Canis lupus familiaris: one gene and its partners. The protein of the gene in region 3 interacts with the protein of the main gene of each other region in a pairwise test. Links are inferred from orthologs where the notes say so. Each region holds a gene or a part of one and is shown on either strand. Other genes may lie near its edges. The genes, in order: PRR13, PDGFRB, KLHL12, TTBK2 and TBC1D10C.

Evidence for each region.
Region 1: the proteins of KLHL12 (region 3) and PRR13 interact in binary tests that used the Homo sapiens proteins (3 or more experiments, as listed by UniProt). The two-hybrid records come from large-scale screens. The link is inferred for Canis lupus familiaris from reciprocal best matches to the Homo sapiens genes KLHL12 and PRR13.
Region 2: the proteins of KLHL12 (region 3) and PDGFRB interact in binary tests that used the Homo sapiens proteins (3 or more experiments, as listed by UniProt). The two-hybrid records come from large-scale screens. The link is inferred for Canis lupus familiaris from reciprocal best matches to the Homo sapiens genes KLHL12 and PDGFRB.
Region 4: the proteins of KLHL12 (region 3) and TTBK2 interact in binary tests that used the Homo sapiens proteins (3 or more experiments, as listed by UniProt). The two-hybrid records come from large-scale screens. The link is inferred for Canis lupus familiaris from reciprocal best matches to the Homo sapiens genes KLHL12 and TTBK2.
Region 5: the proteins of KLHL12 (region 3) and TBC1D10C interact in binary tests that used the Homo sapiens proteins (3 or more experiments, as listed by UniProt). The two-hybrid records come from large-scale screens. The link is inferred for Canis lupus familiaris from reciprocal best matches to the Homo sapiens genes KLHL12 and TBC1D10C.

Annotation. Positions count from the first base shown.
Region 1 is NC_049248.1:44,879,514-44,883,593, reverse strand, and holds the start of PRR13 (proline-rich protein 13), read right to left. Parts: upstream 2,803-4,080; 5' UTR 2,708-2,802; exon of another isoform or gene 2,452-2,707; intron 1,706-2,451; exon of another isoform or gene 1,678-1,705; 5' UTR 1,658-1,677; coding exon 1,639-1,657; intron 1,289-1,638; coding exon 924-1,288; intron 1-923. UniProt on the Homo sapiens protein: Negatively regulates TSP1 expression at the level of transcription. This down-regulation was shown to reduce taxane-induced apoptosis.
Region 2 is NC_049225.1:59,839,825-59,844,069, reverse strand, and holds the start of PDGFRB (platelet-derived growth factor receptor beta precursor), read right to left. Parts: upstream 2,801-4,245; 5' UTR 2,757-2,800; intron 1-2,756. UniProt on the Homo sapiens protein: Tyrosine-protein kinase that acts as a cell-surface receptor for homodimeric PDGFB and PDGFD and for heterodimers formed by PDGFA and PDGFB, and plays an essential role in the regulation of embryonic development, cell proliferation, survival, differentiation, chemotaxis and migration.
Region 3 is NC_049228.1:410,981-414,806, forward strand, and holds the end of KLHL12 (kelch-like protein 12), read left to right. Parts: intron 1-522; coding exon 523-681; intron 682-996; coding exon 997-1,095; intron 1,096-1,428; coding exon 1,429-1,615; intron 1,616-1,796; coding exon 1,797-1,923; 3' UTR 1,924-3,325; downstream 3,326-3,826. UniProt on the Homo sapiens protein: Substrate-specific adapter of a BCR (BTB-CUL3-RBX1) E3 ubiquitin ligase complex that acts as a negative regulator of Wnt signaling pathway and ER-Golgi transport.
Region 4 is NC_049251.1:9,984,401-9,987,911, forward strand, and holds part of TTBK2 (tau-tubulin kinase 2), read right to left. Parts: intron 1,405-3,511; coding exon 816-1,404; intron 1-815.
Region 5 is NC_049239.1:50,562,811-50,566,983, reverse strand, and holds the start of TBC1D10C (carabin), read left to right. Parts: upstream 1-1,362; 5' UTR 1,363-1,557; coding exon 1,558-1,802; intron 1,803-2,550; coding exon 2,551-2,650; intron 2,651-2,845; coding exon 2,846-2,953; intron 2,954-3,041; coding exon 3,042-3,148; intron 3,149-3,349; coding exon 3,350-3,464; intron 3,465-4,119; coding exon 4,120-4,173. Other genes in the region: PPP1CA (serine/threonine-protein phosphatase PP1-alpha catalytic subunit), read right to left, coding at 229-283.

The DNA of each region.
Region 1 (4,080 bases), on a different chromosome or scaffold from region 3:
CTCTGCCTGTGTCTCTGCCTCTCTCTCTCTCTCTGTGACTATCATAAATAAATTAAAAAAAAAAAAAAAAAAAAGAAACAGCCTCTGTGTGCCTGTCTACCTTTACTTTTTCCTAAGCCCCAAATGGGAGAAAGTGAGGAAGGAGGGGAGAGTACTAGTCAAGGTTCTTTACTTGCACACCCCCAACAACTGTCACCAAACACATTTTTTCATCTCTGCAGGGCAATTTCTACCCCCATTCAACCTCATATCTTTCCTTCTCCTGCAATTCCTACCAAAGATCCGGAAAGGGGTAGTGCCCAAAGCCCTAAGGCAAATAAACACTGGGCACTAAAATGTAAATTAAGGCCTCCTCAAGATCCAGGAAGATCCAGGTGGGTTCGGTCCTTCCAGGGTTGTCCTGAGAGCTACTTGGTTCGGTCCTTCCAGGGTTGTCCTGAGAGCTACTTGTTAGTTAACGCTCTTCTAGAATGAAGATACTAGCTGAGGGCTAGCATCTCTGGGGCTGAGCATGAAATTTAGGTTTTGTTTGAGGCTGAGTCACTGAGAGTCCTGCTGGGTGGTAGGACAAAAAGGCCCCTGTGATAATTAACACAGCACCTCCAGAACACTGAAGGTGGGGGTGTCTGACTTGCTAAACCAAGCGTCTGGGGATGGGGGTGGAGCAAAAGTTCTGGGAGACAGAGACAGGAAGGGCTTTGGATTCTGTTCTGTATTCTATGGCTCAGCTTAGCCTCTCCTCGATAGAAGGCCCGATTTGCCTAGTATTTCAAGATTACCAGATTCTTACCAGTGGAAATACTTTACAAAGAAGAACCGTCGACCAGAGCCACACAATGGCTGCTTCATGTCCTCAGACTGCAAATCCCCCCATGCCTCTGTGGTGGGCACCCCTTCCTAGCCAAGCTCCAGGGGGCACTGACCTTGCCATGCTTGTGGTGTTTGTGCGTCTTTTTATGAGCTTTCTTCATTTTCTTCCGCATCTTCTTGTCCATCACCATTCCCGGTCCCCCCATGCCAGGTGGCAAGGGATTCACAAGAGGCGTGCCAGGAACAGGTGGTGGGTAGGGAGGTGGGTAGGGACCCGTGGGTTGGCATCCGGGGTACCCTGGTTGTGGCGCAGGATAAGGGGGCCCACCAGGGGGAAAAGCTGGATTCCCCTGGGGAGCCCCTGGGGGAGTTGGATAGGGGCCCGGGGGGTAGGCGGGATTCACAGGTGGCGGATGGGCAGGATTGGCACCTCCAGGGTACGCGATGTTAGGGGGATATGGATGAGGCCCTGGCTGTCCTGGTGGAAGAAGCAAAGAATAAGTTAGGATTCCAAGAGCTCAGAGCCTCTGACGATAAACAGGGGCAAAAAGAAGGGGGTTCCGTTTCTCACTCACTACTTACAGGGAAATGCAAAGGCGGGGGAGCAGGTGGGGCGGCGGGGAGGCAAAGCCGGTGGGCAGAGGGAAGGCGAGGGCGGCGGCAGGGGTGGGGAGGGAGGGAGACGGTGACTCGGGACCGACGAGCGCAGGGTCAGCCGAGGAGGAGCGAGGACCGCTTCTGTGCGCGAGGGGGGCGGAGAAAGCGACAGAAACTCCCCGTGCCCGGCTCCTCTGAAAAGCGGTTGCGGCCGAGCCCCCGAGCACCTACCGGCATTGGGATTCCACATGTTCGGGGCCTCCCTGCAGCCTGAGGAGGAAGAAACCAAGGCGAAAAGCTGATGGTGCTGGGGGGGGGGGGGGGGCGGGGGGGGGGGGAAGGGGGGTTAGAGACCCAGCCCGGAGCAGCGCCTCCCGGACTCGCGGAACCGCCTCGACCTCCGCAGGCTTCCTTCCCCACCGTCCCTGCGCTCAGCACCTGCTTCCTGCTGCCCCCAGGCCCGGGGCGCCCTCCCCGCGCCTCCACCTTCCACCACCTCGGGCTCCGCGGGACAGCGCCCACGTCCGCGACCTCCGGGCCCGCTCTCCCCTCCCCTCCCCTCCCCTCTTCGCCCCTTCCCCTCCCATCCTCCCCTCCTCCGCGACCTCGGGGTCCGCTCCCCTCCCCCCCTTCCCCTACCCCCTCCGCGACCTCGGGGTCCGCTCCTCCCTCCCCCCCTCCCCCCCCCCCGCGACCTCCGACCCCGCTCCCCCCTCCCCTCCCCTCCTCTCCTCCCCCCCTCCGCGACCTCTGGGCCCGCTCTCCCCTCCCCTCCCCTCCCCTCTTCGCCCCTTCCCCTCCCATCCTCCCCTCCTCCGCGACCTAGGGGTCCGCTCCCCTCCTCCCCCTTCCCCTACCCCCTCCGCGACCTCGGGGTCCGCTCCTCCCTCCCCTCCTCCCCCCTTCCCCTCCCCTCCTCCCCCTTCCCCTACCCCCTCCGCGACCTCGGGGTCCGCTCCTCCCTCCCCTCCTTCCCCCCTCCGCGACCTCCGGGTCCGCTCCCCCCCTCCCCTGCCGGGGCTGAGCCCGGAAGACTTTCCTCACCCACCGCTACGGAAGGATCTTAAACAACTTCACCGCCCTCAGCCCGGGCAGGCGGAGGGAGGCAGGACCCTCACCCCAGGCCACGGGAAGGAGCCGGAGAAGGCGTCCAGGGAAGAGCCTCCACCGCTGTCTTACGGAGACACACCCCCCTTCCACAGCCCACAGGGCAAGTGGAGAGCCTGGCTCCCGGCTGCCAAGGATCCCTGACCTGGGGACGAGGAAAGGAGGAAACTGGGGAACCCAGACGCCCAGTCACCTTTACACCACCTCCCGGGCGGGACTCATCCTCGGCTCTCACTTCCTGGCCCCCGCCCCCCGCTCCCCGACCTGGGCTTCAGCGCCCGCCCCCGCCCCCGCCCCCGCCCCCGCCCCCGCCTGGTTGGCGAGCGCTTGGCCCGTCCGCGTCGTGATTGGAGAACACAGCCGTCAATCACTCTGGCAGGCGGGGCTGGAGGCCGGCGGCGGCCCCGGGGGCGGAGCGCGGCCCCGGAGGGCGCAGAGGAGTGGGCGGGCCGGAAGCGCCGGGGGCGGGGCCAAGGCGGGCCTCGGAGGGGCGGGGCCGGCTTGTGGGCGGAGGCCCGGGGAGGCCCGGAGGACTCTGCACCGGGGCCCTTTGAGCTCCTCGGGCGGTGGGTGCGACGCCTGGAGAGGTGACCGAGGCGGTGCCAAGGTCCTTGCAGAGCGCCTAAGAGACGGCGGAGAGCTGCCGGGTCTCAGCCCCACGCCTCGGTTTCGCCACCTTCCTCCTCTCCCCTGTGGGAAGTAAAGAAACATTCTTGGGGGAAATACAGAGATTTCCTAATCCCCCTTAGAATTCCCTAGCTCACTTGCATAGCTCCGCCATCCGTCGAATTGCATAAGGCAGAAGCCAAGGAGGTCATCTTTGATGGCTTGTCCCTTGTCCCGCCGCCGCCGCCGCGAAGAGCTCGTTTTGTCTCCCAAATAAATCTGAATTCTTTCCGCTTCTCTCCATGGTCCCTGCTCCTAGCCTATCATCGTCTCTCTACTGGATTGCTGCAATGGCTTCATGTTTTTTTTTAAATCACAATTAACATAAAAAACCATGCACCCCAAACTTAAAAATACTCATTCTTCCTAAGCATACTTAGGCTACTTATTAAAAAAAATTGAGGGGCAGCCCAGGTGGCTCAGCGAGGCCTGACCCTGGAGACCTAGATTCGAGTCCCACTTCGGGCTCCCTGCATGGAGCCTGCTTCTCCCTCTGCCTGTGTCTCTGCCGCTCTCTCTCTCTCTGTGTCTCTCATGAATAAATAAAATCTTAAAGAAAAAAATTGGGTCTCAACTAATATAAATCAAATTTCAAAGAATTGTACACTACATACCACATTCTCTGGTCACAATGTAAAATACAAATATACATCTGGAAATTTAAGAAAACAAAAAGGCTTCCAAATAACTCTGGGTCAAAGAATAAACCATGATGGAAATTAAATACTTTGAACTAAGCCATACTGAAAATACTACATCCCAAATTTGTGGGATATATAAAAAATATTAAGAAGATAAATTGTATACTGTCTATCATCTTGAATTAAGCCCTTTGATAGATTTTTAAAATATTTTTTATTTTGTTTTTTTTTATTTTGAAATAATCCTTAGACTCACAAG
Region 2 (4,245 bases), on a different chromosome or scaffold from region 3:
CTGAAACATGTGCAGGGAAGTAAGATGGGCATGGCAGGCACTTCAGGGCAGTCTAGGGACCCTCTCATTCCTTCCTCCCTCCCCACCACACTCAGCAGCCCATCCTGAGCAAAAACCCCAAGTGCCCTCCTCCAGTCCAGAAGGTCTCAGAGCCAGACCATGCCTGGAAGGTGGAGGTAGGCCTTTAGACTGGTCCCTTCCAGGGGCATAGCTCTTGGTGAGGCATAGACTAACTTCACTGCCGAGTCCTGTTCAGGACGGAGGGAGGCCAGTGGGCCTCTCTCAGCCAATGGCCTTTGGGTCCAGCCCTGAGAAGTGCAAGATCTACTACGCACCTTTATCAATATTATCCTCACGGAGACTACATGCCTCCCTGCTGCCTACAGAGGAGGGGGCCGATGCCAAGAGAGACAGAGCACTGGCCCAGGGTCACACAGCCAGGCAGGAGCCAACTAGGGAATAATACACAGTCCTCTGATGCCCAGACCTGATGTTCTTTACCCCAGTGCCCAACACCTTCCAGATGTGGATACAGCCCAGAAAAAAAGGATCCGGGGACCCGAGTTGGCAACATAGCGGACTTGAGTTGAGCCAGGGCAAACGCCAGGTCTCCTGACTCTGAATCTGCGGGGCTTTCCGCTGTCCCACATCTGGGGGCAATTACAAATCTCAGCTCCTCTTCCCACAGAGGAGGGAGGGCTGTCCCATCACCACTAAAGGGAAGGTGCTGGCCAGATGGTCCTCCTTCCTCACTTAGGACCTGGCCAGACTTCGGGTAGACCCAGTGCAGGCGGAGCCTGCCGCCGAAGGTGCTGGAGCCAGGAACGGCCTCAGTGGGAGAATGGAGACTCCCTGCCTTCTGCCCTGGGGCTCCCTGGGTAGCCAGGGGGTAAGTCTTCAGTTTCAAGTAGACTTTGGCCTAAGTACCAACTCTACTAACTATGTGACACTGGGAAAATCACATAGCCTCTCTGAGCCTTGGCTTCCTGGTCTGCAACACAGGGGTAACGACAATACAGATTCCCAAGAGCTGCTGTGGGGGTGACAAGGTGTGTGGGGTCTCGGCTCTGTGCCTGGCACAGTGAAAGCACTCCATGGCGGTGACCCACACAGCAGCACTATGGATCCGGAGCTACGGATCCGGGGCTACGGATCCGGGGCCTGCTGCAAGGAGGCAGGGGAGGACCGCATGACCTCAGATATCTCCCTAGAGGCCTCCTGCATTCTGGGATGGCAGACAGGCAGGGACACTCCTCCCTGTTTGACATAGAAAAATGCAGTCTGGAGGAACAGCGTGCTGTTCTGGAAGGGCACCTGAGGGAAGGGTGGGGCTTGGTTCTGGTCTCACATTTGGGAACAGCAAGTCTTCAGTGAGCCCCTCCTACCTTTTGCCAGCACATTTTCTGTTTCACTGCCTGCCTGTCTGCATATGTTGGGGACGGAAAACAAGATGGGGTCACTTGGGGCCCAAATGATCTCTGATGTGCACACAGAGCACAAACAGGAAGAGAAGGCCAAGCAACAAGGCAAAGGGCATGGCAAGCACTTGGAAGACTGGAAGGACCCCGGAAGGCTGCCTGGAGGAGGGGGAGGTAGGGCATTCCCTCCATTTTCCTTCACGGAAAATGAGGAGGGGCATTCTCACAGGCAAGATTGTGCATACTCCTCCTGGGGACCCTGGGATCTGACTGGCGGGAACACAAGGACCAAGTTTGGAGAAATGCGGCAGGGAGCTTATTATCTCCCCAAGCTCTGCCAGTTACTAGCACCGTGATACAGTTTTGTAGCTGCTGTGAACCTCACGCGTAAAACCAACATAAAATCCATCCCTGCCTCTGGAGCCGCTGGTGAGTTACGTGAGATCATGCTCATAAAGCTCTCCGCACAGTCCTGGCATGCAGTAAGTGTCAATCAGTGGCAGCTACTATTAGGAGTTGGGGCTTTCTATAGGGGAGACTCAAAGAAGGAATCGTGATCAGATTCATGTTTTAGGATGGAGTGAAAGCAGCGTCGGAAGGAGGGAGACAGCGAGGCGGCTTGAGCAGCTGCCTGGGTCCAGAGGGAAGGGCCCAGCAACCGACTCCCCCTTCTTTCCAGAGGGGCCCCTACATCTGACGGCGGATCCCAGGCCCCCAGCCCCACAGCCCCGACTGTGAGACTGTGACTGCTAGGCTAGGCCTGCCACAGCCCCCTTGCCTTCGCACTTTCCCAGCCACTGGGGGTTTGGAAGGACATCTTAGGAATCTGGAAAATTTGCAAATCCATTTAAATCCCCAGAGGTTGCCTGGCGGCCGACTGGCCTAGAGCCAGACAGATTCTTAAGGACAAGGCTTGGGCCCAGAGACAGGGGCCATGGCTCTGAAGTCCCCTATCCCCTGCTAGATCTCCATTCCGTGCACCCTCCTTGCTGCCTCCCAATTCCCCTCTCGAGCTCCTGCCAGCTTTCCCCGGCCCTCTCAGGCGGTTCTATGTTTTGGAGGCCCTCAGTCTGCACCCAGAAACCTCTGGGGTTCATTTGGCAAAAGCAGGGGACAGCAGGGCTATGGAGACCGGCTGGGCCACCCACCCCAGAAGCAGCCTGAGCAGGAGAAGAGAAAACTGGCTCCTCCAGCCCTGACGTCGCCCACAGCCTCCCAGCTTCTTCCCATCTGGTTTTGTTAAAAATATTTTCCATTTTTTGACCTACCCAAGAAGGCACAGACTGGAGCAAGGGGACAGGACAAGGGGCTGGGGATCCCCCTTCTCCCAGCACTTACCTTGCTGCTGATGCCTTCGGGGGTGGGCACAGTCCTGAGCTCTGGGCTGTCACCCCCTCCAGGAAGTCCTCCTCGCTGACCTCTCATTAACAGAAAGACTTTGCTGGACTCCCCAACGGGGCCACGGCTGGGTCGCAGAGCAGGGAAGACAGCCTAATCTCCGGGCCCTGGGAGCCTCAGGAGGATGGAGAGAGTGGGGGGCTGCAGGGGTGAGTGAGGAGTGGCCTCACTGCCAAAGCATCCTTCTGGAGGAGCAGGGCTGCCAGGAGGGGCCGCCCTGGGTCTGGCCCTCTGCGCTGCAGGGCACAGGCTGCTGCCCCCAGCTGCTGGTCAGGGGGGCCGGGTCCTCTCCGTGCCGTCCTCCTGCCCTCTGCCTCCAACTTGTTCGCAGAGGGATCCTGGATCCCAGACGGGATGGGCAGGGACTGCGGGCGCTGGCAGCCCGGGAGCTCACACCACTGTGGGCTTCCCTGCCCTCCCCCTGCTTTGGGGGAAAGGCTGCAGGGCCGCCTCTGATTGGCTCAGCCGGGAGCAGGGGGGCGAGGGGGCGGGGAAGGTGGACGCGTGTGTCTGTTTTCAATTTCAGTTTCTTCCCCCTCTTTCTTTTCCCCCAAGTTTCTTGTTTTTCTTCCTTTTTTCCCTCTGCTTGCTCTCTCCGTCGCCTGCTCTCTCAGGATGTGAGGGGATGTTTAGAAATTCCGCAGCCCACGCCAACCGCTGAGTCACTTTTATTAAAAAGTGGTCCGGCCCCACCTCTCTGATGCCCTGCCGCGCAGCACCTGGGGCCGACTCCCTTGTCTGTGCCTCAGTTTCCACATCCATAAGGGCAGCTCTGAGCACCTATATGATTGATTCAGGCAACATCCGTTTATTGAACAAGCATGTGCTAGACACCATGCGGGGTGCTGGAGGTGGTAGTGAGCAACACACAGTCCCTGACTCCAGGGCTGCCCTGGCTAGTGGAGACACAGGAGGCACAGGGAGGTACCCTGAGGAATAGCAGGGGGGCTGAGAGTGCATTTAGAGGGGCAACTAACTGAGGCTTTGGGATTATCAGTCGCTGTCACAAGAAGAAACCCAAGGCTCAGGTGTGAATTGGCACAGAGAGGGAAAGAGACCTGGCGATGTCACCCGGTGTACTTGGGATTTCCAAACACATTCCTTCCTGTCATCTCGCTGTCCCTCAAGTACCAGGAAAGGGTTATTTCCCCATTTTATAGACAATGAAACAGAAGCCCAGAGAAGAGGAATGAGCTTCCCAAGCTCCCACAAGCAATGGCAGAACTGGAGTGGAATCAGGTCTCCCGAGTTCCATGACAGAACAGACACAGGTGACCTGACCCCGGGGCAAGACTCCCATTGCAGAGCAGACTGGGCCTCCTGCCCCGCCTTCTTCCAGGGTTATCCTTTTCTCTGCATCTCATTCAGTCACCCAACACATATTTTCGAGTACCTGCTAATGTCCCCTTTCCAGCCTCTTGCCCTCCCT
Region 3 (3,826 bases):
TCCCTGCTGAGCTCAGGGCTCAGTCCCAAGACGGGGATCCATGAGATCATGACCCGAGCCAAAGTCAAACATTTAACCGACTGAGCCACCCAGGCACCTCTCTGTGTTTTTGTTTTTTGTTTTTTTGTTTTGTTTTGTTTTTAAGATTTATTATTTGAGAGACAGTGTGAGCATGTGCTAGTGGGAATTGGGTGGGGAGGGCCAGAGGGAGAGGATCTCCAGCAGACTGCCTGCTGAGCACGAAGCCTGACATGGGGCCTGATCCCAGGATCCTCCCAAGATCATGACCTGAGCCAAAATCAAGAAGGACGCCCAGCCGAGGCACGTAGGCTCCCCCCCCCATCTTTTTAGGTGTCTTAACCGTGATGTCTTCCTTACCTATAAAACTTAATTGGCTTACCCAAGAAAAACACTTTGGTTTTGCTCCCAAACATTTGAAAGACTTGTGGGGAATTTGCAAAGAGAGGAGTCCTTAGAAATCTCTCATCCTCTAATAGTCTGTGATTCATTCATTCTGAGCAGATATGATCTATGTGTCTGGAGGCTTTGACGGAAGCAGGCGTCATACCAGTATGGAGCGGTATGACCCAAACATTGACCAATGGAGCATGTTGGGAGATATGCAGACAGCCCGGGAGGGTGCCGGGCTAGTTGTGGCCAGCGGAGTGATCTACTGCCTAGGTATTCCATCTGGGAGGGAGAGATGGGCAGGAACTACATGGGTGGCAACCTTTGGGTGGGGATCTCTTTTTATCAAGATGAAGTTCATAGACTTGTTTCAACTAAAATCCTAGTCTGTCATCCTATTTTTTCTGTTAGCTGGGATTCTTTTTCGTGGAAGCAGGAAACCGGGTACTGTCAGATTTCTCTTTGGATTATTGGAACTCTTAAGAACTAAAACTGAAAGAATTAGTTGAAACACTGAGAGAAAGACAGATTGGGAATGGACGTGAGGATTTCCCAATATTTCTGAATGGTCTGTACTTTGTTTTTCAGGAGGATATGATGGCTTGAATATCTTAAATTCTGTTGAGAAATATGATCCCCACACAGGACACTGGACTAATGTTACACCAATGGCCACCAAGCGCTCTGGTAAGCCCAGTCATACCTAAGGGAGAGGACAATAGACCGTGCTGACAAATCTTTGTATATGCAGTGGTGGCCCAAAGATACGGTATCAGCAAATCAGTTGTAGTTCTTTCTTCACTTACGCTTAGAGTAAATGAGGTTCCACATTCTCTCCTTTGCTTGTCTTTACATATAGTGAGAATAAAGACAACTAGATTATTCTAGGCCTGTCTGGCCTTTGTCCACACCCTCAGCTGCTGTAGAATTCAGCTAGCTTTCAGTGATCGTGTTTTGTTTTTAGAATTCTGATCCTGAGCTTAGTAGTGTTTACTTGCTATACCTTTTTTTTTCCCCCAGGTGCAGGTGTAGCCCTGCTAAATGACCATATTTATGTGGTGGGGGGATTTGATGGGACAGCCCACCTTTCTTCTGTTGAAGCATACAACATTCGCACCGATTCCTGGACAACTGTCACTAGTATGACCACTCCGCGATGTTATGTCGGGGCCACAGTGCTTCGAGGGAGACTTTATGCTATTGCAGGGTAAGGATTTGGAAGCCAGACCAGAGTCCTCAGGGATCGAGGACCACATGATCCAATCTGAATTTTTGGATCAAGACTGGCTTTGGGTTGGGGGAGACATCTCCAGTGGCCGCCTTTAATGTAGGACTGTATGGAAAGGATTAGAAAGTTCATTTTCTTCTTTTGCTTCTTCCCCATTCAGATATGATGGGAATTCCCTGCTGAGTAGCATTGAGTGCTATGACCCTATCATCGACAGCTGGGAAGTAGTGACATCCATGGGAACCCAGCGCTGTGATGCTGGGGTTTGTGTTCTTCGGGAGAAGTGACCATTGTTGGAGCGCCATCCAGAGCTAGTGACCAGTCCAAGGGACAGTTTACGGGAGAGTCAAGGATCCTTTCCAGAATATCTATTTCTCACTGTGTGCACAGGGTAATTACAAGCACCAGTGCAGTGATGATTGTACTTATTTAACACACACTCCACCTTACGCTGGTAGTTGTCCCTGAGGAGGGTGGGTAACAGACACTCAAGGGAAGACAGTGCATACTGAATGGATCTGAGAGGCCAGGTCACCTCTTCTGGTCTAGACAGCACTCTCATGTGCTCAGGAGAATCTCTGTATCTGTTGTGCCTCGTGTATTGCAGACACTTAAGAATCAGTGTGACCTACAGAATGTGGGCAGTATCCAGCGTAGATGATCGGAAGGATACCAACTTGAGGAAGCTGGGTAAAATCCAAGTCTTGTTTTCCAGGAAGATCTTTCCTAGTCTACAGTAGCTAGGGGCAGCAGTTCCATTCTGGAGGATAACAAAGGGGAGAGCCCCCTGTCCCACTTTGGGGGCTTGGAGAGAGTCCTGCCACTCCCTTCAGGGACAGGGTTGGTATATCAGAACCAGGTTTAGAGTAGGGACATCAGAAGAATTTGATGGAAGGTGAGTGAACTGAGAACACCACTAAAGTATAACCTGGAAGACTTAAGAGAGGGTGGTCATACTGAAGGATCTTTTTATTTCCCCATGGACTTTCTGAACCAGAATGGTGCGCGTCTTGGCACCAGAGACTGACAGAGTAAGAGTGAACGAGTGTCGGGATGGGCAGAGATGGAATGAACGTGGGAGTTCAGTATGCCTGGGAACAAACTAGAAGTACCTGTGATTTTACAATCGTCTTATTTCCTGCCAGGGCTCATCTACCCGTGGCATGGTTTGCCTTGAGTAGGTGAGACACTATCTCTCTGTGTTGAATCAAATACTACTACACTATTATACTTCATTACTATTTATTTGGGGTGGGGTGGGGGTGGCAGCAGCCAAAAAGTTCAGCTACCTGATTACTGCCCCATTCTTTTAAGGGCACCCTTCTGCTGAGAAGTGGTTTTTCTGCTGTGTTTGGTACAGTTCATCCTTTTCCTACTATAAGGCCCTCGCCTGTCCTTAGGGTGGATTTTATTTATCCCAGGACAGAATAATCAAGAACAACCAAAATCCTTTTGTTAGTTCCAGTACTTGCTATCGCCATTTCTGAGCCACCATTCAAGGCTCCCCCTGTGTTTTGGAGTGAAAGTCTTAGTTTTGTGGGTATTGTAAGTGTGGGGATGTGATAACCTAAAGAAGGATGCACTTTCCCTTTATTCTGAAATTCCATTTTTTTCTCTTTCCGAGTTGTATTGACCTCAAGAGTTCATTTCCTTTGTATTTTTTTAATAAAATATTAAAAATCAATGGTCTCAAATGCCTATAGGAGAGTTTGTGGCTAACCAGCATGGTCTTGCAGATACTGGGGGTGGGGTGGGGAGGGGGGAGCAGGCACAGTGATCAGCTGTATGTCTTCTCTCTCCTCCCTGTTACCCTGTGTGTTTGCCAACTAGCTCCACTATGTTTCTCTGACATGGGTAAGAGGTAGCTACCCCTTTACCCTTGCCAAGATTCTCATCAGTAAAGTATTTATATGAAATTGCATGTTTATTGACTCCTCTCACACCTGGAGTTTACTTGAAAACCAAACAGAATAAAGGGGAATCCATCTTGAGCTAATTTAGTACCCACTTGACTTTTAGGGTGTTAAGTCACTCCGGTCCTTTTTTTATTTGCTTAGATTTATGGCACGTGATATAAATAGCTATGGAGAAGGCCTGCAAAACTGCAAAAAATCCTGGTATTTCCAGAGCAAAGGAAAGAGGGAGCCAAAAAGGAAGTTATTTTCTCTAAAGAAGCCTGCCAACCTTTCT
Region 4 (3,511 bases), on a different chromosome or scaffold from region 3:
CCTCAGGCTGGAGCCAAAGACCTGTGTACACAGTTTCCTTACTGCCAACATATTCGGCTTTTCCAGGGCTCCTGTTGCTCACCATCATACGGGCATCACTGCTCACTGATAATAAAGGGTGAAGGTGTCTCCAGCTGAATCCCCAAACTGAAGAGTAAAGAGGAGTTTCTTCAAAATGTTCCTTTGCAGAAGACCTTAGTCACAACTATTTTCAGCTACTTGTTAAAATGCAGACCACCCCTGGGTTCACTCTAGCCCAGGCCTACTGAAGCAGAAGCTCTGGAAGAGAGGCCAGAACTCTGTATTTTAACAATGGACAGACATTAAAGCTGGAAAACTGTTTAAGAGTAATGTAAAATATGACAAATTTCTCTGTGGAGATTACAAAAAAAAAAAGCAACAGAACAAAGTGAATCAAGCCAGGCAAGTGTATGCTATAAAGTAGAAACCACATTTACCTTCCTCACCAGATTTATAATGTAGAGATTAAAAATCTCTAGGATGACAAATTTTTAAAGTCATATCTAAATGCATAGATAGATAGCTCTTGTGGTCTAATTATAAATGTTGTTCTAAAATTAGGTTATAATGACACTTTATGTGTTGCGTTGCTATCCTGATAGGACTCACTTGCTTTGATAATTTTCAAAATGGATGACTGAGTATAGAATTTAGTCCCAACATCACTCCCTACCCACCCCCCTTCTGCCAAACTTAGGCATCTGCTGAACTATCTTAGTTGATCAACTATTAGTTCTTTTTAAACAGCACCTTGAGTGGATAATAGAGAAAAGGAATAGGAACAAATCTCTTACCGCTGTGAGGGGTCCTTCCGCTTGCGCTTCCATCGGACTTGTGGGCGTCACTGTAATAAACTGGCTGGCAGCTCCAGCCTGTAGTTCTAGCCTATCTGTGTACTGTTCTGAAGCAGCAGTGGCAGGGCACTCCCCAGAAAGTACTAAGACCACACCTGAGGTTTCTTTCTTTAAATGATCACTTTCTGCCCAAGGACCCAGTAGAAGCTTCTCATCTTGAGGTGATTCCTCCAGGACTTGAAGTACTTCAGGCTCTTCATCAGAAGGGCTTCCAGTTGTTTTATGGCCTAAAGCCTCATTTGTCCTGAAATCCCGAAGGTCCTGCTCCTTGTCCACAATCACCCATTCTTTGGAATCAACCTCCTGCTTGCAGGAGCTCAAGTTAACTGCTATAAATCCATTGCTGGCACCGCCATCTGCCTGTTCAGGGGTGTTGGCAGAGGCAGGCTTAGAAGCATCTGGAAGATATTCTTCATCATAGTGCCAGATATGGTCAGTACGAGACACAGCAGGAACACAAGGCTTATGAAGCACAGCAGGGAGAATAGATTCCTTTCCTCCACTGGAATCTTTCTGCATTTTCTCCAGGCTTTAAAAACAGAGAGCAGTTACTCAATTGCTCTAGGAAAATATTTATACACAACCTATAAGCTCTACACAGAACTAATATTCACACACATGTGACAGAATAATATATTAATAAAGCATAAGGAAGCTTTCACAGGCTGATAATGTTCTTCTCCACCTGTCATAATCCTGTTTTGGAAGATGGAACCCACAGGAGGAAGATGGCTCTCCTGCTTCTCGGCAGTAGGCAGAGAAGCCTACTCAGGCTGACTTATGTGATCTCTTTCCCCTTCTCTTTACAAATTCAATCACACTGCCCTCTGCTCTCTCTGAGGGACTGAGGCAGAACTTAGCTAAGGGGATTTTGCCTCACCAGAAGCCCTATAAAAGGAAATGAAGAAGCTAGTATAGGAAAGGAAATGAGAAGCTAGGCAAATACTTCATGTGTTTTGTTTTCACAGACATATGTAAATGTACACTCCAAGTAAACTCCAAAGGCACCGCTAGCTATTACACCTTCTCAAGCATGCCCAGCCCACTATGTAGCAGCAGTGCACACAGTGGTACTGGGTGGCGATGGGGGCATGGGGGATGACACAAGGAATATCGTTTGGGTGGATGAAAAGGCAACTGACACTTTATACAAATCTCTCTGCTGGCTGAGGGGCAGGCAATGGTGTAACCATTTGGCTGCATTGGCTTCTAGGAACTGATCTCAACTTCAGGGAAACAGTTTAAGCAGTATGTTTTCTCCCTTTCAAGTTTGCAGTTGGGTGCTTTCATTGCTTCAACTGTTTCCTATCCATTCTAGGTTCTGGCCTGAGTTCATTTCCTTAGATTACTTCTGTTTTCTCAGTGCTGTCTTACTTCTCAGCCCTTCCCTCAGCATGGTTCTTTTATTAAACTAATTCTTTACCAAACTAAGCTTTCATCCCTGTTGCATTTATGTATTTATCCCTAATCTTAGCACAACTCAAAATGTTTAAGCACTGCCCCAACTCCAATCCATCCTTTTGATCATATCAATGTACAGACACAAGCTTCTATCATGTAGCTGTGTGGCTGAATAATTACTATGTGAGGAAAAATACACATATATGAAATACTATAAAAAAATAGAAGCTAGATTAGATTAATCTGAATTCTTTGGACATAGTAACTACTATGTTAGTCAAATACATGTTCCTTCTAACCTAACATTTCATTGCCAATAGCAGCCACCAGGGATGTACATTGAAGGGTATGTGACTATCATTAGTCACTCAGTTCTGAATATTACTGCAGCCTTCTATAATTCATAAATATATCCCAAATTCTTTTTTTTAAAAGATTTTATTTATTTATTCATAGAGATGCAGAGAGAGAGAGAGAGGCAGAGACACAGGCAGAGGGAGAAGCAGCTCCACGCAGAGAGCCCGATGCGGGACTCAATCCAGGGTCTCCAGATCACGCCCTGGGCTGCAGGCGGCGCTAAACTGCTGTGCCACCAGGGCTGCCCCCAAATTCTTTTTAAAGTTCCATTTCTGTCTTCTGTTATCAAAATTTGGGAATAATGGGACTTACAAACATTAACTATAGTTATAAACTATAACCTTTGGAGAATAGTTCTCCAAAGTTTCACCTTCCCTTCTTTCTAGGAAGAATGATAAACTTATTCATGTCTATTTTTCCTACAGTACTCACTATTAGAAGTCCTACATTAAAATGAATTGAACTGCCTGCCCCTTTTGTATAAATTACTGGTTTCCCTCATTCACATACTCCCCTTCCTTTCTATAATACCTTCTTTATAATGCACTCTCTAACCCTACACTGCATCTTCTCATTCCAATAAAAGAGATCCCTTATAAACAAAAGTTCAAAATGTTCATTTAACTTGTACCTGGTAACTCATGAAGTTACCAACTCCCACTGCTAAGCTCCCAAAGTCAAAGGTTATCTTGTAACATTATAAGACAATTCATGTTAAGAATCACGATAATTAAAAACACAGATGGAGATAAGAATTTAATCAAATCAGTACCACAAAAATGCAAAAAATTCTTTTTTTTTTAAGATTTTATTTATTTATTCTTGAGAGACATAGAGAGCGAGAGGCAGAGACACAGGAAGAGGGAGAAGCAGGCTCC
Region 5 (4,173 bases), on a different chromosome or scaffold from region 3:
CAGGCCAACCCGTGCGCCCCCCGCCCAGGAGGGGGGCTGCTCCCCGTGCCAGAGCGTCCCCGGAACCCCCCTCCCCCGGCGCGCCGCGACTCGGGGGGCGGCTGTGGCCACGGGACCTTGCGGCCCGTCCCCGCCCAGTCTAAGCTGGCCCGGGGAGGGGCAGGCCCGCCCGCGCACCACTTCCGGGCCAGGGCGCGGCGGGCACCGACCTCCCCGGCCCCGGCCAACCTTCCAGCAGGCGCCCGATGATGGAGTCCAGGTTGAGCTTCTCACTGTCGGACATGGCGGCGCCGCCGCTCCGCCCCAGCAGCTCCGGGCCCGCTCCTGCCGCCCTCCCTCCCGCCCGCTGCCTCCTTCCGGCCTGGCGCTCCTTCCGCCCGCCCCGGCCCGCCCCGGCCTGCCGCCCCGCCTCCCCGGCCCGCCGCCCCGCCCTGCGCGCTGCCCCCGCGCTCTAGCGCTCCCGCCGGACACCGCGCGCAGCGGCCGCGGCGGCCCGGGGGGCGGGGCATAGGGGACGGGGCGGGGCTCGGGCTGAGCTCGGCCGTCGGGACGGAGCCCGGCCGGTGGGTGGAGCTCGGAGGGCGGGGTCGAGTCTGGTCCCGCCCCCGAGGAGTTACCCGAGTCCAGTTCCGAGAATATGGGGCCGGAAGTGCTGTGGGAGTTGTTTGTCTCTGTCAGACGCTAACCCACCCCCTGGGCGGGAGCGTGGTATGAGCACATTAATAACCGATGCTCCAGACACTGCGGATCAAGTCCTCGAAGTGCAGAAAAGGAAACGGAGACTCAAGAGATAGCAGGGGGGTGGGTTGGTCCAAAACCCTGGCCTCACATTCACGGGGGGCCTCCACCTCCTGAGTCTCTGCGGCCCTCAAGGCAGCTGGCCAGACCCAGGCACCTGCCGCGGCGCTCTGAACCCATCTTGGTCCACGCTGTGCTGCACGCTGAACTAATTTTTGTAAGTTCCGTTATTGCCTGCTGAGTGCATAATAACGCTGCGTTAGGTATATATTCAAAGCATTACTTGTAAAGAGCAAATATTAAATAAACGAGAATTCTCACTGGAATCTTGAATTGTTTTAACCTCAAAACTGGAGGGGCCTGGCCTCTGTAACTCGGGTGGGTCCTGGACTGGTCACACCCTGCTCTGGAGCCCAAGCCTGCAGCCACCCAGCCCATGGGGAGGGTGGGAGGAGCCCACGGTCCTGGGGGCACTGGGGCAGGCCGGAAGAGCCTCAGAGAGGAAGAGGTGACCCCCCCACACACTTGGGAGGGGAGTGTGGGAGGGGCCCCCCAGCCGGTGGCTGAAGCTGCTGAGAAGGAGGAAGTGAGAGGAGGAGGTGAGGTGCAGCAGGGAGGTAAGCTGGCCTGGGGGGGCAGGGGCTGGGCCTGGGGACCAGCCTCTACACAGAGGTCTGGCTTTTCTGCCATTTCAAGGCTCACTCTCACCCTCACCCTCCCACCCCGATAAAAGAGGGGACAGAGGGGGCTTGGTGAGATGCCCTGAAGTCTGTGCCCTCTGAACCCTGCAGCCAGGTCCCCGGGCTGGGGACCGGCTGGATGGGAGCTCAGGCCCCAGGCTGGTCAGAAGCTGCCTCTCACACTGGCTTTCCCCACATCTTGCAGCCTGTGGTAGCTTGGGTCTGGGGCACCATGGCCCAGGCCCTGGGGGAGGACCTGGTACAACCTTTCGAGCTGCAGGATGACTCAAGCTCTTTGGGGTCCGACTCAGAGCTGAGTGGGCCTGGCCCATATCGCCAGGCTGATCGCTATGGCTTCATTGGGGGCAGCTCAGCAGAGCCAGGGTAAGTGGGGAAGGGATGAGGGGCAGTGGGGTGCTGGGAGTGAGGATGGGGGTTGAGGGCTGAATTCTAGAGACAGGCTCAACTCCTAGGGTCCTAGAGGGCCTGGGGACTCAGCCAGTGTCCCTACTCCTCATGTTCCAGGAGGAATCCTAAAGCTGGTAGGGCTGCGGCAAGAGTGTCCCTCATGTGTCTCTTTGACTCCCAATCTCCCAGCCTTTGCACCTATCCTTGGGGCCAGATATCCTTCTGCTTTTAATCCCTGCCATGATAATCCCAGAACCAAACCAAAGAACCCACACCTCTATCCCTACCATCTTCCTTTCCAGATATACAGACAGGAAAACAATTCCAGATAGGAGCTTGCCCAAGGTCACACGGCAGATCAGATAGAATCAGGTTCAAACTCAGGACTCCTAGCTTCTAGCCCTTGGCTCTGGCCACCTGCCTCTCTTATGAGTTGTCTGTGTTCCTGTCCTGGAGGACAGCCACCTGGCCCCTGCCCTCCCCCAACACACACCTACACACCCCCTTCAGCCTCTCCTGCTTCTGCCCACATCAGAGCCACATTTTCTCCTGTCCCTATGACAACCACTGGCAACTCCTGGGTGATAGGTTACCCCCCACCCGGGGCTCCCTAGAGATCCCCACAACCAGGAGCTGAGTTTACCCGGGTAGCATGGAAGGTGGCAGAGGTGGGCTCTGGGTGAGAGCCAGCCAACGCCTCGATGCCTGTGCCTTGTGCCCACAGGCCAGGTCACCCTCCTGCAGACCTTATCCGCCAGCGGGAGATGAAGTGGGTGGAGATGACCTCACACTGGGAGAAAACCATGTCTCGGCGGTACAAGAAGGTGAGGGGACAATGGGACTCTTCAGTCATCCCCCTTTGCCTCTGCCTATGCCCTGGCAAAATTTACCCATCCTGTGTCCCTACCCCCCCAAGTGACCCTTGTCCCATGACACATTGGAGCTTGGGATCCTCCAATAGGAGCAGGGCAGGCTGGTCTGGCTGATCTAATGGGGCCCTGGGGTGGGCCTCCCTGCAGGTCAAGATGCAGTGCCGGAAAGGCATCCCCTCAGCTCTCCGGGCCCGCTGCTGGCCCCTGTTGTGTGGAGCCCATGTATGTCAGAAGAACAGCCCTGGCACCTATCAGGTAATGCAGTTGACAGGGGTTCTGCTTCCCCTTTCTAGAGCCTCTGGCTGCTCTTAGCCCTCACAGAGAGCTTCCTGTCCACACACAGGAACTGGCCGAGGCCCCTGGAGACCCACAGTGGATGGAGACCATCAGCAGGGACCTACACCGCCAGTTCCCCCTACACGAAATGTTTGTGTCACCTCAGGGTCACGGGTAGGTGGCCAGTGACACCCAGGGACCTCCAGCCCCACAACCTCCAGGGCTTTCAGCCCAGACTCCTACCTCAGCCTCAGCTTATATCCTTACATCTCAGGGGATCCAGCGAGGCCCAGGGGGGCTGTGACCTGGGAAGAGGCCATCTTCGGGCAGGGAAGGGGTATCTGAACCAGCCCCTAATGGGGTCTTCTGGCACAGGCAGCAGGGGCTCCTGCAGGTCTTGAAAGCCTATACGCTGCATCGGCCGGAACAGGGCTACTGTCAGGCCCAGGGTCCCGTGGCTGCCGTGCTACTCATGCATCTGCCCCCAGAGGTGAGTGCCCTAGACCCTAACCAGGGACTTGAGACCCTGACACCTAAACCCAGTGATCCATGATCCTGACCTTAGGTACTTGAGGTCCTTGACCCACATCCTAGTGACCTACAGACCTAGTAATCCTGTGCTCCGGACCCATGACTCCTATCCCCAGGAACTCGGGACTCAGGGATCTGGGATCCTTGACTCCCAGATCCTGTCCTAGTCACCTAGGGCCTCATGACCATCAACTTCAGTGACTTTCAAGCCCAACGACCTTGACTCCAGGTCAAGGTCCCTTTGGCCCCTGCTCCCTGCCCCAGTGACCTAAGAATCTGGATGTCATCACCTCGACCTCAGGACTCCTGATTCTGAGCCCTGTGACCACGATCTCAATGACTCTAAGAGCTCAGGACTTGAACTTTAGGACCCTCCCAACCCTTGACCAGTGAGCCCCAACTCTGTGACCCTGAAATTCAACACCATGAACCCAATGACTTCCAAACTCCTAAACCAATTGATAGGCAGAGAGACTTTTGGTAAGAGCCTGAGTTTAGGCTCCAGAGTGACCTCAGAGGGCACCTATGCCCACTCCCGCGCTCTGTTCCCCTATCCTATGGTTCCTTCTGTGATCCCCTGGGTGTGGGCACTCATGGCGTGTGCCCCCACCCAGGAGGCCTTCTGGTGCCTGGTACAGATCTGCGAGGTCTACCTCCCCGGCTACTAC